3 linked regions of the Stegostoma tigrinum genome follow. The protein of the gene in region 3 purifies or fractionates together with the protein of the main gene of each other region. This does not show direct contact. Links are inferred from orthologs where the notes say so. Each region holds a gene or a part of one and is shown on either strand. Other genes may lie near its edges.

What was found. The genes of interacting proteins can lie anywhere in the genome.
Region 1: the proteins of amfra (region 3) and faf2 purify together in Homo sapiens (affinity purification with western blotting; 9 studies listed by BioGRID and IntAct, with this or other methods). This does not show direct contact. The link is inferred for Stegostoma tigrinum from reciprocal best matches to the Homo sapiens genes AMFR and FAF2.
Region 2: the proteins of amfra (region 3) and derl1 purify together in Homo sapiens (affinity purification with western blotting; 4 studies listed by BioGRID, with this or other methods). This does not show direct contact. The link is inferred for Stegostoma tigrinum from reciprocal best matches to the Homo sapiens genes AMFR and DERL1.

The regions. Positions count from the first base shown.
Region 1 is NC_081366.1:45,948,194-45,958,684, reverse strand, and holds the start of faf2 (FAS-associated factor 2), read left to right. Parts: upstream 1-5,827; 5' UTR 5,828-5,882; coding exon 5,883-5,951; intron 5,952-9,013; coding exon 9,014-9,082; intron 9,083-9,392; coding exon 9,393-9,527; intron 9,528-10,069; coding exon 10,070-10,146; intron 10,147-10,223; coding exon 10,224-10,362; intron 10,363-10,491. UniProt on the Homo sapiens protein: Plays an important role in endoplasmic reticulum-associated degradation (ERAD) that mediates ubiquitin-dependent degradation of misfolded endoplasmic reticulum proteins.
Region 2 is NC_081358.1:39,218,083-39,228,315, forward strand, and holds the start of derl1 (derlin-1), read right to left. Parts: upstream 4,665-10,233; 5' UTR 4,530-4,664; coding exon 4,371-4,529; intron 1,732-4,370; coding exon 1,632-1,731; intron 1-1,631. Other genes in the region: tbc1d31 (TBC1 domain family member 31), read left to right, coding at 8,053-8,129. UniProt on the Homo sapiens protein: Functional component of endoplasmic reticulum-associated degradation (ERAD) for misfolded lumenal proteins. Forms homotetramers which encircle a large channel traversing the endoplasmic reticulum (ER) membrane.
Region 3 is NC_081369.1:10,282,515-10,293,572, forward strand, and holds the start of amfra (autocrine motility factor receptor a), read left to right. Parts: upstream 1-5,967; 5' UTR 5,968-6,133; coding exon 6,134-6,502; intron 6,503-11,058. Other genes in the region: nudt21 (cleavage and polyadenylation specificity factor subunit 5), read right to left, coding at 1,038-1,150. UniProt on the Homo sapiens protein: E3 ubiquitin-protein ligase that mediates the polyubiquitination of lysine and cysteine residues on target proteins, such as CD3D, CYP3A4, CFTR, INSIG1, SOAT2/ACAT2 and APOB for proteasomal degradation.

The DNA.
Region 1 (10,491 bases), on a different chromosome or scaffold from region 3:
CCCAACTCCAAATTATCTTTGTAAATTGTAAACAATTCCAATCCCAACACTGATACCTGAGGCACACCAGAAGCTACAGGTCTCCAAACACAAAAACACTCATTTCTCCCACTCTTTGCTTTCTGTTAGTTAAACAATCTTCAATCTATGCTAATATATTACCTGTAATGCTGTGGACCCTTATCTTCTGCACCACCCTTTTGCATGGCACTTTGTTCAAATGCTTTCTGGAAATCCAGATTTCGCACTGTCCACCGCACTTGTAATGTACTCAAACAATTCGTGTAAGTTAATTAAACATGACCTGCTTTTCATGAACTCATGCTGTGTGTGCCCAATGGGACAATTTCTATCCAGATTAAGCGACTGCTGGACATGCACATGGACAGCAGTGAATTGAGGAGAATGTAGGTTAGGTTATTTTGTTTTTGGATTAGGATTATTCCACGGCACAACATCGTGGGCCGAAGGGCCTGTACTGTGCTGTACTTTTCTATGTTCTATGTTCCACTATTTCTTCCTTGATTATAGATTTAAGCATTTCTCCCACCACAGTTAAGCTCATGGACCTATAGTTATCTACCTTTTGTCTACTTCTGTTTTTTAAACAGTGGTGTTATATTTGCTGTTCTCAAATCTGCTGGAACTGTTCCAGAGTCCAGCGAAGTTTGGTTAAAAAGTGTATTTGCTATTTCCCCCACCATCTCTTTTCCTACACTGGCATGCACTACCTCAGGGCCAGGCAACTTGCCTTCTTGTTTACGTCTTTTGGTGAATTACAACATACAATTGGCAAATAATAACGTTAATCTGAAAACTGGGTGGTACAGTGGATTGCATTGCTTCATCATGGCACTAGGGACCCGGGTTCGATTCCACCCTCTGGCAACTGTCTGAGTGGAGTATGTACATTCTCCCTGAGTCTGTGTAGGTTTTTTCCAAGTGCTCAGGTTTCCTCCCACAGTCCAAAGCTGTGCAAGTTAGGTGGATTAGGCTTCGGAAATGCAGGGTTACTGGGATAGAGTAAGGGGTGGGTCTGGGTGGGATGCTCTTTGGACAGCTGATGTGGATTCAATGGGCTGAATGGCCTGCTTCCATACTGTAGGAATTCTCAAAGCAAATAGGGAAAACCTTTTTCAGAGCACGATAGTGGGCCAATGAAACTAGATATTTTTGGATAGATTGAATTTTAATTTAGATATCTTTTCCTGTTTAGGGAGTGGAATAATGAATTTTCTCCAGCATTAATTTGTATAGTGTTTGTGTATACGGGACCAGTTTATGTCCAGATGAGTCAGAAAAACTGAAGATAGAATATCTTTTTTGGCTCAGTATCAGTATTTGTCCAATTGTGCTTTCGTGAAGTGCCTTGGGAGTTTTTATTATGCTCACTGTGATATAAATGCAATGTCTTGCTGACCATCTAGTTTCTATATTTTTACCACAAGCCATACTTTCAGTCATCATTCAGCAGATTATGGTTCATTTCCAGCTTTACTATGCAAGGTGGAGAGTCATCTGAATTGTAGTCACGGCTGAATTAAATCAGCTATTAAGTTATTCATATTGGGTTTTTTTAAAGTTTTGTTTGAGACATTTTTACAGTCTGATTCATTTAAATGAATAAATACTTAAGGTTTACTCATTTTATTCACGTACAATGTGACCAATAATAGACCCCTTAACATTGATAACAATGAAAGAGAACATGAAGTTTCAATTAAGGGAAATTGTATCACAGTGAATAGTTTAACATCACGTAGAGAGATATGATTTACATTTGGGGATATTTAATCTTCCACTCACCTTAGTTCAATGATCCATTCAAAATGTGCACTTTCATGGGCCACCAGTCACATTCCAGTAAGTTGCTTAACCTGCTATTTTGTCAGTGTGTGCATGTGCTGAATCTTGCTCAACCATTTGAGCGTGGAATGCAAGCTAATAACGTCATGTCTATCCTCCTCCAATGCCCACCCACTCGCCTTACGAAGCAGAGATCCTTGGATTTAATTTTGAGTTTTACCTTCCAGCCAAGGAATGTTTGACTGCCTGTCTCATTACTCTTCTTACTGGCTAGTCATGATAACACTGGATTGCCTTGGTGTCTTCATCAACTTTATAAAAATTAGCAAAGGGTCACAGGAGATAAACTTCCAAATTCTAAAAAGGAAACAACAACCTAATAGACTAAGTCATAATATTGCGACCTATGTCAACTTACCGTTTAGTTACTCCAGACCTAGCTTTCACAACATTTCAATGGAGCTGTCAGAACCATGTTCCTTCACGTCTACAGCTACATCAATTCCTGAGTAGTGCTGGTGAAGGCTGCCAGTAGGTGTGAAGTTTTCTAGGCTGAAACTGCAGGAATTTGTAACAGATAATGGAAATAATAATTGTGTCAAATAGTATTTACACAACACACTAACCAAGAAAAGTCTCCAAGGGTGTTTGTTTTGTAGGATTTAGGATTTGATTAGTTTTGTCCTTCTAGAAAGCAATTGTTTTTGCCAGTTTTTGTTTTAAAATTGGGTTGATGTCTCCTATGCTTTAACAGAAAACATGTCTAGACTATTGGCTATTTCAGGTCAGTTAATAGAACATAACAAGTACTGTTATTTGAGCCGAGACAAAATATCTATTTTATTGTTTATTAATAATGACATTCTTGAAAATAGTGTTTTAACAAGAATTTGTATTTACATACTGCAATTAAGATCGTCAAATTCCTGAGGTACCTCCATAGAAACATGAGTAAAATTTGAGACCAATCACTGGAAATTTTAGGATGGTCAAAAATGTAGGTTTTAAGGAATGCTTTAAAGGAAAAAAAAATTAAGGAAGGAATTCTAGGGTGATGGTAACTCAGAAATTATGGATATGTTTAGAAGGTCAAGTTTGAAAAGTGCAGGTACCTTAGACAGTCATAGAGTTGGAAGAGATGACACAGAGAGGGAGAGGTGAGGCCGTGGAGTTATTTGAAAACAAGGATGAAATATTTTAAATTAAGGAATTGCTTAAATCTGAAACAACTTTGGTCAGTGAGCACAGTGGTGATGGATGAACAGGATTTAGTCTGAGCTTAGACACCGGCAGCAGAGATTTGGGTGATTTCAAGCTTACTGAGGGTAATAAGAAGCTGCCCAGGAATGCATTTGAATAATTATAGATGTTATACAGTTGGTTAGAAAGGATTTCAGCAGCAGATGATTTAAGGGATGTTAACCAATGATGTTGCAATGTGGAAGCAAGCACACTTAGTGATTGGGCAGATAGGTAGTTGGAAACTCACCTTGGATTGATGCTACATTGCAAAGAGTCGGGTTCAGCTTCTGAGGGTTGCCATGGAGACTGAATCAGTGGCTAGGAAATGGAGCATGGAATGTGTGTGCGGTTGGTGTGGGGATCTGAATGTAATGATTTTGGTCATCCTGATATAGAATTTGAGGAAATGTCTGCTCATTTCCTGAGAAGAAATTTCTGTTGGATCAACAATCTGATCATTTAGAGAGTGTGGAGGATTGAGAAATGTGAGTAGTTTATCATCAGTATATACGTGGAAATCGAGAGTGTTTCCTGATCATGTCACTGAGGAGAGACGTAGAGGAGAAATAGGTAGGGGTCAAAGGTAACAGTTCAAAAGAAGATGGTTATTGTCAGGTTAAAATTAAATAGATGAGGATGAAACTGGGAAAGTTTTCTATTAAAGTGAGCCAACAGTGAAGAGGCATTGGAAGAACTTCTTATGGTCATTCAAAATTATAGGGTGCAGACAAATTTAGAAGAATAAAAATATATTTTACTGTCACTCACAAATAAGATGTCATTTATAACTTTGAGATGAACTATTTCAATTAGGCAGCCATAGAAACATAATTTGGGTGGATTCAAATATGAAGTTTTGAGAAATATGAATACAGATTAATTGACAAAAGAATGTTAGAGGATCTTGGAAATATAGTTTGAAAATGGAGTGGCAGTTTGTAAGGATGAAGTTCAGGAATGAAGGATTGTTTTTAGGTCAGGTAGAATAGTACCTGAGAAGACAGAGCCATTAATAAAGTCAACTAACATGGAATCATAGAAAGGAAGTTGGTCAACAGTTTAGTGGAAAAGTGACCAGGAAGTAGGAGGTGGGAATAATGGACAAGATGAACTTATAAGGGCAGTTGGGGATATAGTATCAGTCATTTGTGGCTTAGTGTGTAGTATTGTCATCCTCTGAATCAGGCATTATGATTTCAAGTCCTGCTGCAGGACTTAAGCACAAAAATCAAGTACTAAACTGTCAGAGATGCCCTTCACAGATTTCTCAGAACAATCGCATGGCAGTGAAGATGTTAATCATGGTTTCCCTGCTAATACTTAGTCACGAATTAACTTAAGAACATTCGTTATCAAATCGCTGTTTGTGGCAGACTGCTGTGCACAAATAGGCAGTCATAGTTTCTAAATTCCAAAACTACACAAGTAACTAATTTGTTGTAAAGTACTTTGAGACAGCCTGAGAATTTGAAATCGTAAAAGTGTTGTCAGAGGTGCAATTGATGGATGCAAGCCGGAGGGGATTAAGATAGTTTGCAGTGAACAAGAGGAGCTGTTGTTTATGTTTATTTATTAGAATTATCCTGGTGAAATAAGCAGTTTTGGCTTAGGAGAGCAAGATCTAGCAGCAGCAGCATCATTCAGGTAAGATCTCACAATGAATACCTAAACTAGTTGTCTGCCATGTCTACTCAAGTCTGTTACCCTTTGCTCATCGCCGTTAAGTAGTAGGGTGAGGCTCATGCCGCTAATGGCAATTGTAGAATATCAAGCCTGGAGGTGTAGGTGCAGTTGACTTGTTTTAATTGAAGAACAGAGGCTAAGTAGTGGGATTTTGAAAGCACAGCTGTTGAGTGTAAATTGAAGAAGCTTTCTGTGAGTATATACAAGAGGCAGGAACGTTGGAAATGGGATGCAAGTGGAGAGCAATACAAACAAGTAACTGGCATGAGAATATTGAGGCCGTGTAAGATTAATTGCAAGATCAATGGATGGGTGCAAATGTGGTTTGGGGAGTTTACATGGAGGGAAATGTTAAGCTAAGACGGCAATGAACTCAGAAGGCAAATTTAACCGGAATGGAGAATTTCAAAACGTGATTCAAAAGTCATTGTTTAATCACGACTAAAAAAAAACTCTCAGATAGAAGTCTGAACATTAATCGCTTGGAAAACTACTTTGCAAACATTAGCGTCATATCATTCTATATCTAACATGTCTAACTTCAAAGAACATCTTTTCCACCCACGTATTTCAACTATTGTCAGTATTTTTGTGCGTTGGCAACGCAATCTTGTCTGCGCTCAGCCTCCTACATCAAGACCCATCTTCAGTGTTAAGGATGGCAGGAAGGGGAGGAAACCTCCAGAGACACGTGTTGCGACGGGTATTAAACGTAAAATAAGCGGATACGAGTTGTAGAATATGTGTAGAGTGTTGTAGAATTCTAGAACTCCCGGGCGAAGGTTCCGGCATCCCAGGCTAAAGTTCTGGAATCACGGCCCAGCTCTCATGACCAATCGCGTGCTGCACTGAATTGAACTTGCAACCTCTCAACCCAGGCGCCACAACTCCATCAACTGTTAAGGTCGGCGCCGGGCGATTCCGAGAACTACCGAAGAGCGTCGGTTGTTTCCGTAACCGGCCCACTATCTGTGCTGGAATGCATCGAAATCCAAAACCCGATGCGTAAAAATACCTCGTACCATTTTTAAATATTGGTGCAATTTCAGAACTCAACTACTGGTTGGGCCGCATTTTTTTTTGCGTTTCGTGGTTGCGACTTTACCCAAAAATCATCTACTTCCGCACGGGCCTGGAACGCAAGATCCAAGATGGCGGCGCCTGGCAATGAAGAGGAGGAACTAACGCAAGAACAAACAGAGAAACTGTTGCAGTTTCAGGTAAATTCATCAAACTTAACAGAATTCCATAGAGGGCGACGTGAGTCGTCATTCTCAGGTACTTTTTAATTCGTTAATTGAATTAATTTAGTCCTGCTGAAGGGCTGAAGCTTCTGCACCTGTGGCATTTTCTGTATTCACAACATTTTCTGGTAACCCTCCATCTGGCATAATTCACTTAGAGCAAGGAAAAAAAACTGTCAACTACAATTCCATTTACAAAATTCTAAACAGTTAAAACCCTAATAGTGTTAAAAATTGAATTAGCTGGATCTATATTTTATGCTGAATAAACATTTGGTGATTATCTTAACTGAAACCATTTTAACTTTAACAAAAAGAGATATTGCTGGAAAACTCCAGCTGGCCTGACAGCAGCTGTGGAGCATTTGGAACATTTTAACTTTTATCCTTTTTGCTTTTGAAGCAATGTGACTGTGTCGTGAAATGTTCACTTATGAAATAAGCTTGTGTTTTGCAGGACTGATGTATGCTAAGCTTAGTGTAGAGTATTTAATTTGTGATTTTATTAAGTGTGTGGCAAACTATCTGGAACTTGTTAAAACTTTGTAAATGTTAGGGGTCTGTGAAATTCTATCCCTTGGAAAAGAAGAACATTACATTAAATGAAACAATAACTTAAGAATTACATCAATTAGTTGAAAGTTGAAAAGGCTGAACTCATCTTAATGAGCAAGTATTTCTCTGAATTTTCAACAATTTTTTAAAAGATTTTCAAGCCAGACACTGTAACCGTATGGTTTTACATTTGTATCCTGTATGTGTAGTTCAGGTGATATATAAAGTCTTGCATTAGATCTGATATTGCAAAAGGTGAGATTCTTGTACTGCCAGATAAGCATTTTGCAAGGCAAGAATGGATGAAATTGAATGCATCGCTAGCTATCAGGAAGTTTCCTCAAATTGTTTGTTCTTGCTTCAGCCACGAGATAGGTCATAGAGTGGTTGCAGCACAGTCTCATACCTTCTTTGAAAGAGTGGGTGGTGTTGTTGAGTGGAGGAAGAGACAGAGAATGAAATGACAAATCAGAATTTTTTTGTAGAGATAGTAGGAACTGCTGATGCTGGAGAATCTGAGATAACATGGTGTAGAGCTGGATGAACACAGCAGGCCAAGCAGGAAAGCTGACGTTTCAGGTCTGCATCCTTCTTCAGAAATGGGGGAGGGGAAGGGGTTTCCGAAATGAATAGGGAGAGAGGGGGAGGCGGATAGAAGATGGATGAAGGAGAAAATAGGTGGAGAGGAGATAGACAGGTCAAAGGGGTGGGTTTGGAGCCAGTGAAGGTGAATGTAGGTGGGGAGTTAGGGGATGGGTTGGTCCAGGGAGGACAGACAGGTCAAGGAGGCAGGATGAGGTTAGTGGGTAGGAGATGGGGGTGGGCCTTGAGATGGGAGGAATGGCTAGCGAGGTGGGGAGTAGCTAGGCTGGTTTTGGGATGCAGTCGGGGGAGGGTGATTTTGAAGCTTGTGCAGTCCACATTCATACCCTTAGCCTCCAGGGTTCGCAAAATTTTTTGTGTTGGCCCTAAGGTACAAATTACATTTTAAGTTGTAGAGGCAATTTAGTAACAACTTGATGGATGGATATTACAAATCCCCTTAGAATCAGTCATAGAGTTGTCCAGCCTGGAAACTTTTTCAAACAGGAACTTGTAGGACTTGAACCGTGATATATTGGCCCAGAGGTAAGACACTACCACTTCACCGTAGGAACTCTCAAGTTGTTTGTATAGGAACATTGATGTAGAAAAATGCCCCAAGGCACTGAACGACAATTTTTTTTTACAACATGGATAACTGCAGGGGAGACATGTGGAAGAGGGGTTCGTGACCAAAAACTTGGTCGAAAACTTAATTTTGAAGGAGGAGGAAACCCAAGCGGACTTATGTAGGAATTTTAGATGTTAGGGGCTTGACAGCTAAAAGAATGATCCTAGTGGTGGAACAATTAAAAGTGGACATGCAATAGGCTAAAACCTCGATTGTGGAAATCTTGGATGCTTGTGTGAATGGAAAAGCTTATGGAGATGGGGTGAGATGAGACCATGGAGGGTTTTTAAAGCAAGGGTTTATTTTTAACATGGTTAAGCTGTTGCTGATGTACTCTGCTGCTTTCTGCAACCAAAATATTGATAGGCAGTCTAGCTTTGGATGAGATTATTAGGGTGGAACAGAGGTGTCCATCAAGAGGAACATTGTCTTAGCTTGACTATATCTCAAGTACAGATGAGAGTCATCTGCATATTTACTTGAAGCAGACGTGGATGTGTATATCATCTTGGGAAATGGAATGGCTATGTGATAGAAAACTCATTGGAGTCAAACACAATTGCAAAGTTGTGCATAATCTTCCTCTATTTTCAAATTTGGCAGGTACGGAGATGGAAAAGGTTGTTGCAGAAGAAAGATTCTGGTGGTAACAAACTTCAGTGATCGCAATACTTAGGCATGGGAAATACCTGCTTGTTCAGTACTGAATGTTAGCTGATTGAATCAATTATCGCTGAACTGCCACACTCAATGTTTAATTAGAAACGTCATTTTGAGTTAAAAACTGAAAGAACTGCAGATCCTGTAAGTCAGGAATGAAAACAGAAGACCTCTGTTCAGGCTCTATCCTATCATTTACTCCCTATCCCATTCCCCTTCCTATTTTCTGTATATAAACCAACATTTTTCCAGCTACCATCGGTTCTGAGGATAGTCACTGGATCCGAAACATTACCTCTGTTTTTTTTTTCTTCACAGATGCTGCCAGACTGCTGAGCTTTTCCAGCAACTTCAGTTTTTGTATGTCATTTTGAATATTATTTGAATACTTAAGTATTTAAACCAGCTCCTCAACTGATCTCTAAACATGAGTTTTTGGTGAAGGCTCAAAACGTGAAAAGATACATCTAACGACCCATTAAAAACAATAAAATGTTAGTTGCCTGAAGCATCAAATAATATAAATGGATATTTAAATTTAATAGTTCAATGTTAACATGTCTGTACTGTTTTAATTAAAATACTTTTCTTGTGATATTTCTCACCATAGGACTTAACAGGTATCGACTCAATGGACCAATGTCGCCGTACACTTGAGCAACATCATTGGAACATTGAGGTACAAAGGAAGCAAACAAAATTGTATACAAAATATTACAGTGGGTTTTGGCGTTGATTCGGAAATGACTTTCTACGTGCTATCTCCTATTTAAGGAATGTTTCTGATATTTCACTCAATTTGACTGTTCTCCTTGTTTAGATATATTACTAAGAGCCGTGGTGAGCCCTAACAGTTTGTGATTGGTCACTTTGTATAAATAATATGCACTATGATTTAAAACTTAACCTGTTTTATGGATTTAGTTTTGTTTATTTAAATTATTCTCGATGTTCAATTTTTCTCATCCATTTCTATTTTTATCTTCTAGGCAGCTGTTCAGGATAGGTTAAATGAACAAGAAGGCGTTCCCAGTGTCTTCAACCCACCTTCCTCTCGCCCACTTCAAGTTCACACAGCAGATCACAGAGTCTATAGTTATGTAGTTTCAAGACCTCAGCCTAGGGTGAGGCCATATTAGTTATTTTATTCATTGTTTTCACTTTAAAATTTTATCAAAAATAAGTCATCAAATCATATTTTGCATTATTTATTATTAAATTTGATTTTTGTATTTGATATAATATGCTCATTTGTAACTCATTATTAGAAAATGGTTGAGAATTCCCCAACTGAAATTACATTGAATCTTGATTATGATTGACATTATATCAATAACTCATTTTATTCCTTGCTTATTTAAAATAGATTGCTGGTAGGGCAAGATAAATCATTAATCATAGTTTTAAGAGGTAGCTCATCAATACTTAGTGACCTCATTCATAAAATCAGTTTATGTACTCATTGTATTGTACCCTCTGTCCTTCAAGTATCCAATATAAGTTTGTATTTTGTGACCTGGTGGTAGTATGGTCAAGCCATTGGTGAGGTTTGCCTATGTACAATATAAAACTATTCTAAATTTGTTTGTTTTAATAAGAGCAAAAACCATTGGGTTTGTTCAATTTTTGTAATGGAGTGATTAACAGTAATATCTGATTTTTACAGGGTCTCTTAGGATGGAGTTATTACTTGATAATGCTTCCTTTCCGATTCACCTATTACACGCTGCTGGACATTTTTAGGTGAGATACTGAAAAGTTTCACAAAGCATCATGTTAACAAAAAAAAAATCCTCAATCTAAACTCTCTTTTTGAATAGATTTGCTATAAGGTTTATACGACCAGATCCTAGGAGTCGTGTTACTGATCCTGTTGGGGATGTAGTATCATTTATTCAGAATTTTGAGGAACAGTATGGAAGGATCCATCCAGTCTTTTATCAAGGAACCTACAGTCAGGTTTGTACAAAACTACCTTTACAGTTATTTTAGGTTTACAATTCATGCTGTTTTACTGCTTGATTTGAATGTTATCTTCCTGTGCACTCCTAACCCCCTCAAAATAAGTTGCAAATTGTTTCTTCTCTT
Region 2 (10,233 bases), on a different chromosome or scaffold from region 3:
AGTAAAGTTAGGTCACATCAGATTCAGGGTGAGCTTGCCAATTGGATACATAATTGGCTTAACAACAGACAGAGAGTGGTGGTAGAGTGTTGCTTTTCGGACTGGAGGCCTGTCACCAGCAGTGTTCCGCAGGGATTGGTTCTGGGTCCTCTTTTGTTTGTTATTTATATAAATTATATGGATGAGACAATAGAAGGCATGGTTAGTAAGTTCGGAGACGACACCAAAATTGGTGGCATAGTAGACAGTGAAGAAGGTTTTCTGAGATTACAAATGGATCTTGATCAAATGGGTCAATGGGCTGAAAAAGTGCAGATGAAGTTCAATCTGGATAAATGCAATGTATTACATCAAACAAAGCTGGGGCTTATGCAATTAATGGTAGCTCCTTGGTGTTGAAGAAGAGCGACCTAGAGGTTCAGGCACATAATTCTTTGAAATTTGTGTCACGTATAGAAAGGTGGTTAAAAAGGCATTTGGCACACTTGCCTTCATTGTTCAGTCCTTCAAGTATAGGAGTTAAGAAGTCATTTTGAGCTTGTACAAGACGTAGCGGAGGCCTTTTCTGGAATACTGTGTCCAATTCTGGGTGCCCAGTTATAGGAAGGATATTAAGCTGATGAGCGTTCAGAAGAGATTTACCAGAATGTTGCCAGCTATGGAAGATTTGAGCTATAAAGAAAGGCTGAATAGGCTGGGACTTTTTTCACAGGAGCATGGGAAGTTGAAAGGTGACCTTATAAAAGTTTATAAAATAATAAAAAGGTGTAGAGAGTGTTATCCACCCCTTCTTTATAACTCAAACCTTCTATACACAGCAACATCCTAGTACATCTCCTCTGAATCCTCTCCAGCTCAATCCTTCCCAAAACTGGGCAACCAGAACTGGACACAGTATTTTGGAACAGGCCTCATCAATAGTTGTCTTTTCCCTAGGATGGGGGAATTTCAAGACTGGGGGACACATGTTAAGGAGACAGGAGAGAGATGTTAAAAAAAAGGGAAAATTTTTTACACAGTGGATGGTTCGTGTATGGAATGACCTTCCTGAGTAAGTGGTGGATATGGGTACAATCACAACATTTAAAAGACGTTGGGATAAGTACATGAATAGAAAAGGTTTGGAGAGCTGGGCCAGGAAGTTGGGACTAGTTTAGTTTGGTCCGAACGGTCTATTTCTATGCTGTATGACTCTAAGATCAGTGATTTTTCAATCTTCGTCAAGAATCTAATTTCAATTTCCATCCTGGAGGTTGTGAAAATACTGCATTTAGAGTTCATAGGGATTTGAAGGGCTGTATCAGGATAAATAGCTTTGCAAACATATAAAACTATCTAACACAACAATGCCTTATACTGGATTGTGTATCTCTTTCCTATGTTTGTGCAATTAAAATGCTTCTGAAACTAAAGTTTAATCTCTACACTTTAAAATTATTCCAGCTTGTGAGCAAAAACATTGGTGCCCAATATTTGTAATTTTTTTTAAAATATCAAAATGATGAATTTAGACAAGCTCCTGGATTAGTACTTTCACTTAATTTTTTAAATACATTTTTTTTCAGAAGAAAATCTCTGAAAAGTTCAATGCACAAAATGGATGCAGCGCAAAGACAGGAGTAGAAACCAACCTCTTTCCAAGCTTGAGGAATAGGAATACAGGAAGTATAGCTGAATCAAATAATGGAACCCCATTGGGTAAAACAGGCTTGCAGTTATTGGCCTCCATATCTGTGTATGTAAATAAAAACAATATTGGTTGTTCATCACCCTCAGACACATCATCTGTACTGAGAATCAAACAAAATTTTGATCACTACTTGCATCAAAAACAATTTTATTCCTAGCATACAATACCAACAATCAAAACCTGTCAGAAAAAATGGGAACTGCAGATGCTGGAGAAGCCAAGATAACAAAGTGTGAAGCTGGATGAACACAGCAGGCCAAGCACCATCTCAGGAGCACGAAAGCTGATGTTTCGGGCCTAGACCCTTCATCAGAGAGGGGGATGGGGAGAGGATTCTGAAATAAATAGTGAGAGAAGGGGAGGCGGACCGAAGATGGAGAGAAAAGAAGATAGGTGGAGAGGAGAGTATACAAAACCTGTCATGCTGCCTCTGTCACGTTTTGACAAATGCACAAAGAAATAAAAGTATTCTTTTGCAATGTAGACTATATTCACAATATTGTTAAACTAATAAGGCAGCAAGAAATTCAAACTGACATCAACAAATCTTTGACACACACAATCATTGCTCCAGAACTCTCCTTGTGACAACGATTTGCCACAAAAAGTGATTTTCTTGTTCACATTGCCATGTTTAATTCTCCCTTCTGAAAATATCTTTTTGTCTCTTCCAATAGATGTGCCTTGCATTTACACAGCATTTATCACAATCCTAGAATGTCATCTCACTGTCACTTCTTCATTTTTGAAGTGTCGTCATTTGCAATGTAAGAAATGTGGCAACCAGTTTGTAGATTTCCAACCAAGTGGATAATGTAATAATGCACCATCCAGAGCAAGACAATGAAATTAATCAATGTTGCACTACAAGTTACTTTTATGCACACACGTGTTTCTTGTTTCAACTGGTGAGAATGTTGCTCATGAACACAGCCTGAGAATTTGCGCGGGTGTCCTAGCCAATAATTATTCCTCAAAATAGCATCACTAAAGCAGTTTCACTGGGGTTTAACAACTGCTGCTTGTGGTTGCTGCAAGATCCCAACTTATCCACAGCATATCCAGCATTACAACAGTGACTACACTTCAAAAGTGCTTCATCAGCTGTCAAGCATTTTGGGACATGTGATGAAAGATGCTAAATAAATGCAAGGTTTTTTTAAGCAGAGAAAATTGAGATGAAAAATTGAATAGCTGTGTACATAGAAACCACTTAATCTGTAGAGATTTTGCTTTCAATTTCAAGATGTAATAAGTGAATGTAAATTCCACATGCTAATGTGGGATTTGAACCGGTGTCCATGAAACATTAACACAGGCCTTTGGTATACGAGTTCAGTTATTTAATACAGCTCACTATTTCCCAAAGTGTTGGAAGAGAGCAAGATATATAATAGCAAACTATCGTCCTATTGATTAATATACAGATTCAAACAACTGGTATATTTACATATATAAATATATTCATAAAAATGTAAATATGCTTACACATTAATACTTTTAAAAATAATTCTGTATACAACACTAAGTTGCTACAGACATCATTTTAACTAATTCACAAAGATTTTACAGTACTTTGAGTGATCTGGAAGACGTGAAGTGCTCTTTCTTCTTCTGTACTCAAACTTCACATTATAAACTGAAAATCATCAATCTGCCCTGGGCTTTAATGTCAATGTATCAATGAAAAGTGTAGTAAAATGTCCCAAGGTACTTCACAGGACTGTTTGACAAAAATCTGATACAGCGGCAGGTGACCAAATGCTTGGTGAAAGTAGCTGGTCTTCAGGAGTGAATGAAGATTAATTTGGATTTATATGCTGTAATGTACACAGGGAGCAAGGGAAAAGTGTTACAATTTGGCGATCTTCAGTGTCCTGCAACAGGGTTGAATCTGATCTTGACTCTAAGTCTAAGGCATTCTCAAACTGGGATACACAAAGACCATCTAGGGGTCTGCAAAATGATGGAGGTGGGAACAGGTTGTGGTTCATGTATGCAGGTTGAGCTGGCTGCTTTGCTTCAGAAGGCTTGCATTCCAGGAGGGGCACAGGCTGGTGGCTTCAGCAAGATCACTAGGGAGACTTGCAGTCACTAAGCACCCAGGTAAACCCAGCCTTACGCAACAAGAGGGTTTTATTTTTAAATGGCAAAAGTACTCTTCTCTACAGGCCATCCAATGGGGTTCAGGATGACTTGCTTCAACTCAGTTTTACGAGCTTTGAGATGGCAGATAACTCCAATTCTTGACCAGCACTGACTTTGTTTTCTCTCCACAGACGCTGCCAGACCTGCTGAGTTTTTCCCAGTAATTTCGTTTCTGGCGTTTCAGATCCAGTGACCGTTCTTCAGAATTACTAAAAGCAGTGCAGGTGGCCTTCGAAGGGTTGGATAGAATCGTCATTTATCCTCCAAACATCTTAAATTGTCAAATATCACATGAAGACAGACTCTTCAGCGACAAGCAGGCAAATCCTTCCGCCGATGGCTACAGTTAGAAACATTATGAAATCTCTACGTATACATAACATACTTTAATGATTTATCTGAGATTACTAATCCAGTTGAAAAGTGAGCCCTTCGACCACGCCTCACCCCCCAAGAGGTCTGAGAATCTCTAGCTCCCGGCAGAGAATAGCCTAAACTGGAGTGACACTATCCGATGGAGTTGTCACCCTACCTGAAAGTTGTTGAAGAAAGGTTCGGCCCACAGCACCAGGGTCCTGGCGCTGACCATGTTCAGCCTCTCCAGGACAGGAAGGATCACGCTGCCCGTGAACCAATACCTCGTAACCAGGGGGATGCTGCGGTACCATTCGCCCAGGCCGCTGTCCGCCATCCTAAGCCGGATCGAGGGAAGGAAACCAGCCCGACGAAACCTTTCTCGCTCCGGACACACAACGACAAACCCACAATCGTCACTCTGCTCTGACCGACTGTCAACCCAAGGGCTGCTGGGAAAACCGGCACTCGTTTCCAGTGACGTGGCCGCACCACGCGCCTCCACACCTCACTGCTTCCGGGTCACCCAGCAGTTGGATGATGTGCATTGTTACACTGGCTCTACACATCAGCAGGATATTCAGCCTGTTTGGCCTTATGCTTGTGCCTCAAACCCCTCACGTTTGTAAAGTTTCAGTAGCGGGTTTTGTGTGCATAACTTAAAGATTTTAGAGATTTAAATCTCCGGACACACAGAAGAGAAGAGCAGGAATAGGTCATTGGACCTCTCGAGACTGCTTCGCCTTTCAAAAGAACCATACCTGATGACTAGATAACAAAGTTATAACAAAGACTAGATAACAGAAAAGGGGTTTTCTAATGAAGGGTCTAGGCCCGAAATGTCAGCTTTTGTGCTCCTGAGATGCTGCTTGTCCTGCTGTGTTCATCCAGCTCCACACTTTGTTATCTTGGATTCTCCAGCATCAGCAGTTCCCATTATCTCATGTCTGATGACTGAGCTCAATTACCTAATCCTGCCCATGACCCATATCTCTCAATCCTTATAGCTATAAGTGCCACCTCCTTCTTGAAAACATAATGTTTAGGTGTCAACTACTTTCTGTGGCAGTGAATTCCACAGGCTTACCGCTGTCTAGGTGAAGTGATTTCTCCTCAGTCCCAAAAGGTTGATCCCTCATTCTTAAAAAACTCGCGGTTCTGAACTCCCCTACCATGGGCCACATTCTTCCTATGTCTAATCCTGTTAGAGCTTTATAGGTTTGCTATGAGATCCCCTCCTCATTTTTCTGAACACCGGTTCTAACCAACTCAGTCCTCATATGACAGTCCTACCACCTAAGGAATCAATTTTGTAAACCTTCACTGCACGCCCTCTGCTGCAAGAATATCCTTTCAAATAGAAAGACCAGAGCTGCATACAAATTCCAGGTGTGGCCTCACCAATAGCCCATATAATTTCAGCAAGACATTCTTACTCCTGCACTTGAATCCTTTTGCCGTAAAGGCCAATGTACAGTTTGCCTTATTGCTTACAACACCTGCATGCTTTCAGTGACTAGTGCACTAGGACATCCATTGTTGAATATTCACCTCTGAATTTACAGCCATTTCTAGTTTTCCTACTAAAGTGGATAACCTCAAACTTATCCACATTTTGCCTCATCTACTATGTATTTGTCCATTCACTCAGCCTCTCCAAATCACACTGCAACATCTCAGCATCCCGCTCATGGCTCCTCTTCCACTCAGCTTTGTGTCATCAGCAAATTTTGAAATATATATTATTTCTGTAACTAAATTATGAACATATATTCTGAATATCTGGGGTCCTTGTATGGATCTCTGTAGTACCCCACTAATCACAGCTGGTTATTTACAGGGTTTTTGTGAAGTCCTTGCACAACATTAACCTTAATTTGAATGACCACATGGGAGAAGCAACCTGTGAACTCTATGTATCAGAAACATTTTTGCTTTTTATAGCACCTTCACAGCCTCAAGATGTCTCAATGCACTTAAAAATCATTGAGGTAGAGAGATAATAGGAACTGCAGATGCTGGAGAGGCTGGATGAACACAGCAGGCCAAGTGGCATCTTAGGAGCAGGATTTTTGTGGGATAGGAAACACAAAATCATCACATCACTGCTTTGCTGGGAAAAACATGTTCATATACTTGACATCAAACTCCTAAGTACGTCCTCTTCTCAGAAATTAGACATCAAGCCACACCCCAGGAAGGCAGGGGAAATGCTTCAGGGATGTTGTCAAAGCATCCTTGAAGGGATCAAATATCCCAAACAACACTAGGAAGTGCCTGGCCCGTGACTAACTATAAAGGAGATGGTTCATGTAGGAATACACCAAGTAGATTTAGACATTTTGTTGGAGTCATGCAAAGATAAAATCGAGGCATCAACAAAGACACACAAGGTCTACAAACTTATCAGCCATCTTTGAAACGAACATACTGGAAGGAAAGCAAGTCATAAAAACAGAAAAGTGCTGGCACCTTGCTAAACTATAAGATATCCTACCCCAATACCAAAAGATATTATGCAAATCCAGAATTGGCCAGTTCAGTTACACAAAGAACCATGGCAAAAACCTGTAGTCCTGACTAGACATGATCTTTGAATTAAGATGTAATGAGAAAATGACTAGGTATGCTGCTTTTCTGAAATAGTTGAGAGATAAATATGGAGAGAGAACAATAATCAACATCAATTTTATCATTATCTCATTACTATTTGTGAAATTGAATGTATTTTCTGCATTGTAGCAGGGGCTACACTTCAAAAAGTATGTCATTGGCACACACTCTAAATATAGAACATAGAACATAGAACAGTACAGCACAGAACAGGCCCTTCAGCCCACAATGTTGTGCCGACCATTGATCCTCATGTATGCACCCTCAAATTTCTGTGACCATATACATGTCCAGCAGTCTCTTAAATGACCCCAATGACCTTGCTTCCACAACTGCTGCTGGCAACGCATTCCATGCTCTCACAACTCTCTGCGTAAAGAACCTGCCTCTGACATCCCCTCGATACTTTCCACCAACCAGCTTAAAACTATGACCCCTCGTGCTAGCCATTTCTGCCCTGGGAAAATATATTTTTTTCTTTCCATCAACTTCTGTTATTAAATGAACCCCCAAAACTACAATTCCCAGAAAGAAAGAAAGGTAGCACGGTAGCTCAGTGGTTAGCGCTGCTACCTCACTGCTGGGACCACAGAACCAAATTTGATCCCAGTCTTACACAACCGACTGTGTGGAGTTTGCACATTCTCCCTGTGTCTGCATGGGTTTCTGCTGGATCCTCTGGTTTCCTCCCACAGTCCAAAGATGTGCAAGTTAGGTGGTTTGGCCATGCTAAGTTGCCCAGAGTGTTCAGTGATGTGCAGGTTATGTGCATTAGCCTTGAGAAATGCAGGGTTACAGGGACAGTGTAGGGCGATGGGTAAGCGTGGGTGTGGACTTGTTGGGCCGAATGGCCTGTTTCCACACTGTGGGAAGTCTTTTTTTTTCAATATATATAAATTGCTGGGGAAAACTCAGCAGGTCTGGCAACATCTGTGGGGGAAAAAGCTGAGTTAACGTTTCTTCAGAACTACAATTCCCAGCATGCGTCGCGGTCAGCGAACGTGATGGTGTCACTTCCTCCATGACCGGATGTTGAGGGCGAGCGTGTCAGTTATTTGGTTCGAGGGTCTGGTAGAAGTTCCTTGAATTTGTAAATTGGGTTTTGATTTAATTTGTCTGTTTTCTAGAAAACCTTTCAGTTTTATTTTTCCAGTGGCGTTGGAGGCGTTTGTGTATTTTTACGGCTGATGTGGTGAGGTGACAGTGGGATAAAGTTTGAATTTGCCGCCGAACCTGTTGCCAGCCTCATGCAGATCAGCGACATTGGAGCCCGGCCGCAGGGAAAGATCTGGCATCGAAGGCCCAACCCCTCAACAGCCGACGGGTAACACTGCCAGCCTTGTCTGCCACCTATAGCTAACACACCTATTCGACTGTGGCAGGCATCCCTGCGGTGCTTGAGATTCCCCCGCCCCATTCGACTGGGGAAGGCATCAGCGTGGTGTCGAAGATCGCTCTCCTTTTCGACTGTGGCGAGCGTCAGTGTAGTCCTTGCGATCTTCCACTCCACCACTCGACCTTTTCAGTGGCACGGTGATCCACTCCCACCTCCTCCCCAAGTAGCCACTCTGTCGGATGGCATTGGTTTCCCATCTTTGGGCCAGTTTTAGCGTATTGCGCCCATAGGTGCTAGCGAGTTTTGCGAAGATTTGTAGCTCAGGTTGAGGTGCTGGATGTGAGTTTGTTCGCTGAGCTGGAAGGTTAGTTTTCAGACGTTTCGTCACCATTCTAGGTAACATCATCAGTGAGCTTCGTCGGAGGCTCACTGATGATGTTACCTAGAATGATGACGAAACGTCTGAAAACTAACGTTCCAGCTCAGCGAACAAACTCACATCCAGAATAGTCCCATTGCCACGAAACTCCCAGAATGAGTGCATTCAGAGTGGCAGCCTTAGCTCCGACACACAGCGTCAATATTTTTAAACCGTATCAAAGGGTGGAGCTCATAAAGGAGATCCCTGCTTGATAAACCTTTTCTCCTCGCTCACGTTACCTTCTCTGCACGGTCCCAAAGAGGATCAGCTCATATAACACAGATCGAACCAGAGGCATCCATGATCTTTCTGTGCCCTGCAATGCATTGTTTCTTCAACCCGTGGAATGATCGAGCGGACTTTATATAATGGTAGCTTTAACAGACTGTACACAACAGCATTTTTTGTTTAAAACGTGGATGTCATCCCTTATTAATTTGTAATGTACAATGCAAATCACATGACTTCATGGATAATGGGAACTGCCGATGCTGGAGAATCCGAGATAACAAAGTGTGGTGCTGGATGAACACAGCAGGCCAGGTAGCATCTTAGGAGCACAAAAAAGTTTTTTTTCTGATGAAGGGCCTAGGCCCGAAACGTCAGCTTTTGTGCTCCGAAGATGCTGCTTGGCCTGCTGTGTTCATCCAGCTCCACACTTCGTTACATGACTTCATGCCTCAGTCCCATCTTTGGTGTCAGTGTGCAATTTTAAAGCATTGTTAGGACTGTTTCTAAAACCTTTCCCTCAGAGGTGATAAACTTCTGAAACATTATGGAGAGCTATTATTTTTAAATTACTATTTCAGTCCCATTGGTAATATGCAATGTCCCTCAAATTAGTTAAACTTTGATATTCAGCTTTTTGCTGGTAAACGGTATCAAACCATGAAAGTCAGTTCCTGAGAATTGTTTAATAAAGATGAACTTCTTTATTCACTGATTCAAGAAGATGAGAGATCCATATGTTTAGGTGTTAAAATGTTCTATGTTTAAATCTCTCCAGTGTTTGAGATTTTAACATAGTTAGATGTGATTTTGTCAGCAGCGGCTTTAACAGGGTCCCGGATTGGAGACTAACCAGAAAAACAGATGGGATCCAGCATAACCTTGTAAGTTGGATCTAAAATTTGCTTGGTGCCAGGAGACAGTGGATGATGGTAGAAGACTTTGTTTGACTGGAGGCTGGTGCCCAGTGGCATACCATAGGGATCAGTGCAGGGTCACTTATTGTTCAGGATATATAAACGATGGAGATAAAAATGTGGATTTTTTTTGGGTGGGGGGAGGGCAGCGGTGATAAATAAGTTTTTGGATGACACAGAGATTTGACAGTGAAGATGAAGGTCTTCACTTACGGGAAGATTTAATCACTTTGGTCAAATGGGTAAATCAATGGCAGATGAAACTTAACCCTCAATGTGAAGTGTTGCACTTCAGAAGAAGTAACAAGACAAAGGAGTATTCAGTGAATGATAAGCTGCTAGAAAGCTTAGAGGAATGGTAGGATCGTGGGGTGCTTGTCCGTAATCGCTGAAGATGGTAGAGCAGGTTAATCAGGTAGTTAAGGTAGATAGGACACTTACCCTTATCAGTCAAGGTGTAGATTATCAGAGTAGAGAGACTATGTGGGAGCCTTACAAAATTTTGAGTAAGCCACAGTTGGAATAT
Region 3 (11,058 bases):
GTCTTCAGCATCAGTGGCTTGATTTGCATATACTCTCTCATTTACTGTTTTACAGTAAACTTAGGTACCCTGTAGACAATTTAATGCCATAATCTAGGAAACCTGAGTACCAAAAACACCACAGAAATAGCTGATATTAACAAAGCCTATCTATTCCACTAGAGCTGTTTGACAAGACTACATCAAGAATACACTTGACCACTTTACACTATAACAAACAAGTCAGCTTCACCGGAACATGTAGATTGGCCTCTAGGCCAGAGGTATTACCTGAATTTGTTTTTTCATATTTTTGTTTTTACTCAAGAATTCTAAATTGGTTGCAAAGTTCATGGATAAATTTGAAACAATCCTCTGAAACACAGCCATTTCACACTCTTTGTGAAAGTAACTTCCACTCATTTCATTGATATCCAATTAAATTTACTGGAGTAAGTCCAATAAACTATTTCCATTCATGAGCTCTCAAGTTACTAGGCTGAAGACACATGGCTAGATACCAACAAGTAATTCACGAGATCAGACAACTACAAAAACCAGTTCATGTCAGACAGACTTAAAATGAACAAAATCTTAATATTAAATCTGTACTTGAACGCTGGAACACCCCAAAAAAAAATGAAACTGCGGGGACCTGAAGCGAACATCCAGGACCAACCTCAACACATTATAACGATACAGATAACAAGGTGTAGAGCTGGACGAACACAGCAGGCCAAGCAGCATCAGAGAGGCAGAAAGAAGGGTCTAGACCCGAAACGTCAGCCTTCCTGCTCCTCTGATGCTTCTTCACCTGCTGTGTTCATCCAGCTCCACACCTTGTTATCTCAGATTCTCCAGCACCTGCAGTTCCTACCATCTCTGATACACTATAACGATAACTACTTCTGAAGGCAAGTCATTACTCAAATCCACACGGTATTCAAGAATTGGATTCCATCTGCAACTTTTTTAAAACTTTAAATATACTATTTTCAAGTTCACATGAAACTAGCTCGACAGAGGTATATACAGAATCCAGTGTATTGGATACTCACAGGTTGATGGTCCTCTCCAGGGTTAGCGGCTTTGCCTGCAGGTACTTATTCCCATATTGAGACACTCCGCGGGGCCAGCCCGCCTGCGAGCGGCTCGGCGGAACCACAGACATAGCAACAAGCTGATGAAAGGTACGGGACCCAGTGCAGCGTCGGGAACGGGTTCTCCCTCTCTCACACACACAAGGATCAACAAGGCCGCCTTCGCGCTTTAACCCGAAACCCACGTTTCCAGGTCAGGGAACACTTCCGGGTCAGGGAAACAACGCTCGGTAGGGGGCAGTATCGCAGTGTTGAGGGGCAGAAGGCTTGTCCTGTTCCTGAGTAAGTGGCAGAGATGTCAGTGCTGACAGAAGCATGTCCGGGAAATCGCTGAAAGGAAAATTTAAAAAAAAGCTGGCGATTACAGGGCCTCAAGCAACATCCGTGGAAATAAAGCAAGCTAATGATTCGAGTCTGGCTGACTCCTCCTCAGAGCTGAAGTGGTGGGGGGTGGTGTGGGGAACAGCGTTTACACAGCAGTTGGGGAGGAGGTTGCAGTGTAAGATAGGTCTCATTTTCGTAGCTTATCATTCGAAATACAGGCTTTTGTTCAGTGAGGGTTTGGCACATTCGGACGAAACTTGCAACCCTTTATTCTGGAATAAGCTGTTTTCGCAGGATCAAAGCACTCCTGGTAGAGACGCTGCATTATTGCAGTGATATCGTGCAGGTTAAATATTAAACCACAGCCTGCCCCAGGCGAAGTTTAAAAAAAACTTTAATGGTTATATCGCAAAGAACATATATAATACATGTTCCAAGAATTTTTTTTAAAAAAACTGTGCTGAATCAAACAAAACTATAAAACTAACAGTGATAATGGGAACTGCAGACGCTGGAGAATCCAAGATAACAAAATGTGAGGCTGGATGAACACAGCAGGCCCAGCAGCATCTCAGGAGCACAAAAGCTGACATTTCGGGCCTAGACCCTTCATCAGAGAGGGGGATGGGGTGAGGGTTCTGGAATAAATAGAGAGGGGGAAGCGGACCCAAGATGGAGAGAAAAGAAAATAGGTGGAGAGGAGAGTATAGGTGGGGAGGTAGGGAGGGGATAGGTCAGTCCAGGGAAGACGGACAGGTCAAGGAGGTGGGATGAGGTTAGTAGGTAGGAGGTGGAGGTGCGGCTTGGGGTGGGAGGAAGGGATGGGTGAGAGGAAGAGCAGGTTAGGGAAGCAGAGACAGGTTGGACTGGTTTTGGGATGCAGTAGGTGGAGGGGAAGAGCTGGACTGGTTGTGTGGTGCAGTGGGGGGAGGGGACGAACTGGGCTGGTTTTGGGATGCGGTGGGGAAAGGGGAGATTTTGAAGCTGGTGAAGTCCACATTGATATCATTGGGCTGCAGGGTTCCATCATGGGCTAACTGCGGTGCCACAATGATGCCACCCGAAGGTTGCAGGAACAGCAACTCATATTCCGCTTGGGAACCTTTGGGACACCCAAACAAGTTGTGAAACTGCAGGGACCTGAGGCAAGCACCCAGGACCAACGTCAACACATTATAATGATAATTATGACTGAAGGCATGTCATTACTCAGATCCACATGGTATTCAACATAGAGTTTCTATCTGCAACAGAAGGGTCAACGGACCCGAAACATTATCTGTGATTTTTCTTCACAAATGCTGCCAGACCTGCTGAACTTTTCCAGCAACTTCTGTTTTTGTTCTTGATTTACAGCATCTGCAGTTCTTTCAATTTTTAACCTGCTGATTTGTCTTCATTACTTGCTGTTGTGGTACCTTGTGTGAAAATTCTGTTTGTCTACGTGGATTGCATTCACTGAATGTGTAAGCTTATAATGTCCCTTAATGGTACTAAAGTGCTAATGTAACTCCTCCATTCCTGTGTTGTCCACTGCAGTGGGAACGATTTTGAATGGAACCATGGTTGCCTAGCAGACAATTGCCAAAAGATTCACATTTAATTACTTATCCATTAGCTCCAGACTGCCTCATGAATGTATCTTGGCCACATTACTCTTTCATCTTCTTTCATTGGATGTACTTCTCAGGTTGCTCGGTGAAATGTTTGATCTATCTCTCCCTGGTTCTTCCAATCAACTATCTTAGTCCTGTCACGTTGTTTGTCTAACAGTCAGCATTTCGAATTGCAATTGCATCCTGTTAAACTTAGGTAGACTGAAGCTATCATATCTTATTGTCTTTCCCAATCTCCATCCCTTAAGCCTGGCCATTGCCTATTTAAACAGACATCATATGTTCTACAGAACCAGTCGAAAGAAGAACTGGAGATTTTTTGCCCATCATAGTTAACATTTAGTATTCAGCAAATGAGAATATTCACCGTTGTATTTGCCTACATGATCAGAGCTACTGACATTCTGAAATTAATTTGTTATTTTTGTAGCATCTGGAATGTCCTTTGAATGTGAAAGGCGCTTTATCTTTTCTTCATATTTAGGTTTCACTTCCAAGAAGGCAGATTATTTGAACAAGTAATACAGATGATTACCATTACTGTGACCGGTCAGTTCATGTTTTGGAGTTGCCGCACACTGCATGATGGATTGTATCCTTTCTGCACAACTTAACTGTGATCTGTTGATTTCTTCATGATTCTTGGCAGATCTTGCAGGATCTTTTGGACGATCTCAAATAACCCCATAATAGGACCATGCACAGATTTCATCTTTCTGTTATAAATAGACCCCTTGAAGTACATATTTCTACTTGTCCAACCAAGGAAAGATATGAGCTGCACCAGCTCATTCATCCTCATTGACTCACACTGTGCTTTGGACTGAAGCTCAGTAATTATGTTCCCCCACTTTGTAATGGGTTCACAGGTTAGTGTTTGAAACATCAGAATGAGTAATGTAGACTAGTGTGCAGCACTAGCTTCAAGATCTCTTTTTTACTCATCGAATAGCTACATAAGCATAAGAAGAATGTAAGTTATCATGCTAGCTGCATGACTGGTACATCTGTGGTAATAAATGATGAGTTGATATTGAGGGTATGTTTTTTCTGCCAAAGAGTGATTAGATAGAGGCTTACAGGAACATTTCGGTCCTAACCCTGAGCTTGATTTAATCTAATTTCACCTTTCTCTCGATGCTGATAGTACAAATAATTTTGAATTTTGATTCTTCAAATGCACCCAAGAACTTTACATTTTAACATTCACTTTTCTTGGACATGCTTCCAACCGTGATTATGTTCTGTTAGAAAAAAAGGCAATTTTGACATTTGGCAGAAGCAATGACAGCAATACTCAAGTGCCCGATTGTTTATTTCATATTTCCTTGTGCACAGGTATTTTTCACCTGATTTATTGGAAGAATTATATGCGGACTTTTTAAATGTAATTATGACACAATTTCATGATGTCAGTTGCAGCTGGAAGTTATGTCCTTTGTTATTGCCCGTGTATGTTTGGAGGAGCTATGAGTTTGCTGTGTGCTTTTAATGAGAGCATTAAATATATAACATATCATAATCAAACACCTTGTCATTATTATAGTTTGCTCATCTACTTTAACAAAGGTAACACTGTAAAGTCTTATCCTGGCATATTTTCTCAGATCATCAAACCTTGTTTACGTCTGCTCCCATGTTTAGTAAACATTGGAGACATTGTAGAACCTTTTTCCAAGCATTCAGCACTGCTTATACAGAGATTCTGTAATGCAGGACTAACCCAAATAATCTAGATTTTGCCAGTGTCCATGAAAATATGCAGCATGGCAGCAACATCTGTGAAAGTAGAGTGTCCTTCCATTTTACCAGCGTACCAATTGTGAACAATCCACTTGTCCATCTCTCTGCTTGCCTCATTCTTTTTTTGCCTATTGTTCTTGCTTAATTTTTCAGTAAATCAATTCCTTCACCTCCTTTCTCTTCTATTTCCTTTCCAGTCTTCCTTTTCTTTCCATGCTCTTACATGGCCTTTCATTGATTAAACAGGGTTTTTTTTATAATTGTAGTTCCTATGTTCTGGGTTGGAGGGAGTTATTTGATTAATGTTTCATGAAAACATCAGTTAGTGGTTGCAACAGTCAAGAAAGAAATTTGAGCCTGGGCCATTGTGATAACAGAGATCTTGGGCCATCGAACAGCCAGGGAATTGGGAAATGATAGACATGGGAAGTGAGTTTCTGAGTAGAAAGGAAGTCTAAAGGTGGGATGGGATTTAGATGAAACTGAGGCTGGGCAAGATAGCTTTTCATCCATTTCCGGATTTACTATTCAAACAAGCTAATCTAGATTGGTGAAAACGGAAAGAAATGTGGAGGCTGTAAATCAGGAACAAAAACGGAAGTTGCAGGAAAAGCGGAAGCAGGTCTGCCAGCATTTGTGAAGAAAAATCACAGTAAGCCACAACAGTTCTGAGGAAGGGTCGCCTGACCCGAAATCCTACTTCTTCTTCACGGATGCGGCCAGACCTGCTGAGCTTTTCCCGCAACTACTGTGTTTGAATCCAGATTGGTGAGCATGTTAGGTGATGGGCAAACAGAACATGATGCAAGCAATCAGCGAAAGTTTGGATTGGTTTAAGTTCGAAGAGGACGGGATAGTTGAGAAGAGAAACTGTAATACTGAAAAACAGAGGACAACAGTATGGATAAGGGTCTCAGCAGCAGACGGCACGAGACCGGGGTGATGCCACCAGCAATGATGATTAAACCTATAATAACTACTTCAGAATATTATGAGCGAATTCTGTAACTCTAAGCTTAGTAAGGAATGCGTCAAAATGTATATTTGTTAATACCGTCCTCCAAAGAGCTGTTATTGATGACTGCAGGCATGACTAACTGACTCGGTAACCATGGAGACTATCTCCATGACAGTGCGATCCGACATCCCCGTCACTTCGGGAGGTTCTCCGTCCGGCGGCGTCGTCTCAGTACGTCACTTCCGGAGGTTGTTTCCGGCTCGCTCTCCCCCCATCCTGTGTGCTGACGTCACCGATATCGTTGGCTCGAGTTAGAACGGGACCGTTTCTGCGTGCCCGAGCGTTAACGGGAATCTCGGTGCCGTCTCAAGCCAGGTCACTGGGGTAACGGCAGCGCAGCCATCAGCTTCGCCATGCCGCTCCTTTTCCTTGAGCGTTTCCCCTGGCCAAGCTTGCGGACCTATACGGCCCTGAGCGCAGCGCTGTTGGCGATCAGCCTCTTTAGCGCCTATTCCAACCTCAGCCTGCCCCCGGGCCCCGCTGCCCTGCGGGTCCCCGACCCCGGCGATCCTACCCCCAGCGACGCCACAAACGGCGATCGGCCGAACGGAATCGATGAGGGCGGCAGCGGCCGGGAAAGCGGGGCAAACGCCGCCCAGTACTTGTCTCCCAATCATGGTGAAGGCGATCTGGGATTAACTAGTCGACCCGACTGGGCCAATGGCCATGGACTGGCGGCACAGATGGCCTGGTACCTGGTGTCAGACGGCTGGTGTGTTTGGGTGAGTGCTTGTATTGCTTCGTTGTGTTTTTATGGGGGGGTGTCAATTTAGTTTTGTAAGGAAGATGAGTTTCTCTGGCCTTTTGGACTGATCAAGCAACTTGTAGACGTGGTTTAAAATTCTAAAACCTTATAGGAAACAATTCGTTAAGGGACAAAAACAAAGTTGCTGGAAAAGCTCAGCAGGCCTAGCAGCATCTGTGACCCTTCCTCAGAACTGTCTTATTCAGACCCGAAACGTTAACTATTTTCCTTCACAGGTGCTGCCAGACCCGCTGAGCTTTTTCAGCAACTTTGTTTTTGTTCCTGATTTACAGCATCCGCAGCTCTTTCACTTTTTAAATCGTTAAGGGAGTTCTTTTTGAACACAGTAATCGATAACGGAATAAACGCATTGCTGCCGTTGTCACTGACTTGTGTTTCTAAACGTTCGGGTCAGAATTCACTGACGCGGTTAGATATTTCAATGTGTACTCCAAAAGAGTTTCCGTTGGAATGAAAACAAATTTTCATAATCTACTGTTGCAGTTTTTTTCTGTTCTCTAAAACCTCTTAAAGATTTTTACTGTAAAATTTATTTCACGTTCGTCATCTGCTAAAATGAATGATGCAGGGCTCACCTAATACTATCGTTTGAAACAGAAATAGTGCCTTTCTACACTCGCTGGGTACCATCTTTCTTCTAGCGAAAACTGAAGGAAGACCCATTTTATTCCTTCAATTCGGATCCAGTGCGTTTCCTTCTAAGTTTCAGGAGGTGCCCTCGGAGGTGTGTCTAGCTTTTCAAATATTCTACGAATTGAGTTGAAGCATTTCGGATAGAGAACTGAATATTTGGAGAAATAAAAGAAATGTAGTATGAAAGATTAGGATCATACGATTAGGGAGATTAAGCCATACCTCTTCACAATTCTGTTTGAGTGTTGTAGAAGGTTCCTGAACTACAGGTGAGTTTGAAGTGTTGGGCAACAGTCGGAAAATGGAGTTAAAGTTGTGATTGGATCAGCAATGATCATACTGAATGACAAAACAGACTGGAAAGGCCATAACACGTACTCCTATTTGTGTTCTTGGGTTTTTGCATTGTGATGAGGAAACCCATGAAATAACTTTGAGCTCGTATGTAACCCTGGGAATGAAGGGATGGAGTGTTGAGTGATGTGAGCTCTTGATTCATTTAAGATATGTAACTCTTAAGGGTCAATGCTGGTAGCATTGCTCTATCCAAGTCATTCAGAAATACAATGTAGGAAAAAATTCCAGAATTTGCTGATTGTGTTACATGTGGACCTGCGGTAAACATACAGGATGATACCAATGAACTGTAAGATGGTAAAGCAAAATGGGTAGCAAATTGCAGATAGAATTCATTGCAGAGAAGTGAGAGGTGATACATTTTGGTCAAAAGAATAGGAAGAAGCAGTATATGCCACAACTGCAGCATTGTGCCAAGTTGTAGGAAATGATGGTCCTTGTGATGGTGTAGACAAGATTCACTGAATTGCTCCAGGGAGAACAATCCTGGAACCAGAGGTTCAGGAGAAATCTGACAGCTGGACAAGACTGAGATAACAAGGTGTAGAGCTGGATGAATGCAGCAGGCCAAGCAGCATCAGAAGAGCAGGAAGGCTGACGTTTCGGGCCTAGACCCTTCTTTCTGCTCTTTTGATGCTTCTTGGCCTGCTGTGTTCATCCAGCTGTACACCTTGTTATCTGAAATTCTTCAGCATCTGCGGTCCCTACTATATCAGATGGACAAGACTGACATTTTTGACATACACAAGCGATTTGCATTAGTTGTCATTTTTAAAAAGTCAGTACGGATTAAAAGTTTTGGATTAGCAAATGGTTGGAATGGGAAGAATGATTTGTTAACACAATAAGTGGCAATGATTTAGGATTTACTCTTTAAAAGACTGGTGGTAGTGGAGGCAAATCTTTTCATCAAGGTAAACTTGCTTGGCTCTGAGGATAGGGCAGTGCCAATGGACTTGATTTGCGGAATAGTTGTTTCTTGTGTTGTCATGATTCTAAGTTTCAACATTAAAGTGAAAACTTCATTTTGACTGTAACCATAATTTGCAGATTACAAATGAGGGAGCCAAAAGCTATCTTGAGAAGGCATTTCAAATCATACTGAACCTTTAAATATTAAGTTGGGTTACAGCTATTTTGAATGCTTATAAGTTGGATATTAAGTTCTCCCCTTTTTCAGATAGGTGAGTCAAAATATGGACAGACTTGGCGGGGGTGGTCAGAGAAATTTTGAAGCTGGTGAAGTCAATATTCGGGCCTTCTGGCTGTAAGCTGCCAAGGTGAAATATCGGGTGTTGTTCCTCAAGTTTATGTTTGGCCTCACTCTGACATTGGAGGAGGCCAAGGATGGACATGTGACCAGGGGAGCAGGGGGGCCAGTTTAAAGTATATGGCAACTGGAAGGACAGGTTGGTTGGTGTGTGCAGAGAGCAGGTCTCCGCAAAACGGTTCTCGAGTCTGGTTTGGTCTTTCAATATAGCGGAGACCACATCGGGAGCAACAGATACACTAGATGAGGTGAGATGAAATGCAGTTGAATCTCTGCTGGATTTAGAAGGATTGTTTGGGAATTTGGATGGAGTTGAGAGGGGAGGTGTAGGCGCAGGTGTAACCCCTCCTGCAGTTGCAGGGAAAAGTACCAGGTGGGGAGTGTGGAGCTGACGGAGTTATGTAATGAATAGTTTCTACGGAAAGTGGACAGGGGTTGGGAGGGAAGTATCTATTTGGTGGGGTCTGATTGTAGGAGAGAGAAATGTTGGATGATGATACATTCTGTTCGGAAGTTGGTGAGGTGGTATGTGCAGACTAAGGGGACTCTATCCTTAGTGTAGTTGAGGGGAGAGGGTTTGAGGATAGACGCGCAGGAAATGGGGTTGATTTGGTTGACGATACCCTTAATAACAGAAAAGGGTAACCTACAGTCCCTAAAATAGGAGGACATCTGGGAAGTAGTAGAGTAGAATGCCTCACCCTGAGAGCAGATGCAGTGGAGGCAGATGAATTAAGTGTGGAGTAGTATTTATGAGAAGGGTGAGTGAGAGGAGGTGTAGTCGAGGTAATTGTCTGAGTCAATCGGTTTGAAATGGATGTCAGTGGTGACCCACTTACCAGATATCGAGATGGAGAGGTCCAGGAAGGGGAGGGAGGTGTCAAAAACAGTTCAAGTGAATTTGTGGCAGTGGTGGCAAGTGTTGGTGAACTGTTCAAGCTCCTCGCTGGAGCATGAGACAGCACCGATACAGTCACCAGTGTAGCGACAAAGAATCCGACAAAGAGGCAGATGTAGCTCGGGTCCGTGCAGGTGCCTGTGGCCACCCCTTTGGTTTGTACGAAATAGGAGGAATCAAAGAAAAAATTGTTGTGTGAGAGGACCAGTTCTGCCAGGCTAATGAGTGTGCCGTTGGAGGGGGACTGGTTGGGCCTATGGGAGAGGAAAAATCGGGAGGCTTTTTGGCCGTCTTTGTGGAGGATACAGGCATTCTGGGCAGGAAATAGTTCCCCAAACCCTCCCCTCCCATTTCTGTCTCCTACCCAAAATCCATTAACCCTGCTGCCGCAGTCGACCAATTGTCTCTATGCCTGTTCCTGCCCCACCGAGTTCATCTCCTCCTACCTCGAGTCTGTTCTTTCCCCTTTGGTCCAAGAATTCCCTGCCTATGTTCGGGACACAATCCACGCCCTCCACCTCTTCCAAAACTTCAATTCTCCGGCTCCTAACTCATCATCTTCACCATGGACGTTCATTCCCTGTATACCTGTATCCCCAACAGGGATGGCCTAAAAGCCATCCACTTCTTCCTCTCCCATAGGCCCAACCAGTCCCCCTTCACCAACACTCTCATTCGCTTGATGGTACTGGCCCTCACCCGCAACAATTTTTCGTTTAGTTTTTAGGAAGTAGGAGAAATCAAATGGCTGGCCATGCATGGGCTTGAGCTGTGCCTGCCCCTTTGTAGGATTCATGGAACAGCCCCTCTTCAACAATTGCACCAGCACCATCACTCACCTCTTTCTCTGCTACGTTGATGACTGTATTGGTGCTGCCTCCTGCCTTTGCGAGGAGTTTGAACAGTTCATCAACTTCGCCAACATTCCCCACTATGCTCTCAGATTCACCTGGACCATTTCTCACATGTCCCTCCCTTTTCTGGACATCTCCGGTGACCTATTCACCACTAACATTCATTTCAAACCCGCAGACTCCTGCAGTTACCTCGATTATACCTCCTCTCACCCAACCTCCTGCAAAAATGCTATCTCATACTCTCAATTCCTCTGCCTTTGCTGCATCTGCTCTCAGAATGAGGCATTCTACTCAAGGAATTCCCAGATATCCTCTTTCTAGGAACTGTAGTTTACCTTCGTCTATTATTAAGGATGCCCTCAAGTGCACCTCCGCCATTTCCTGCACTTCTGCCATCAAAACCCCTTCCACCACCCCCCGCCCAACTACTCGAGGGATAGAGGCCCCTTAGTTCTCCCAATTACCCCACGAGCCTCTGAATACAACGCGTAATTCTC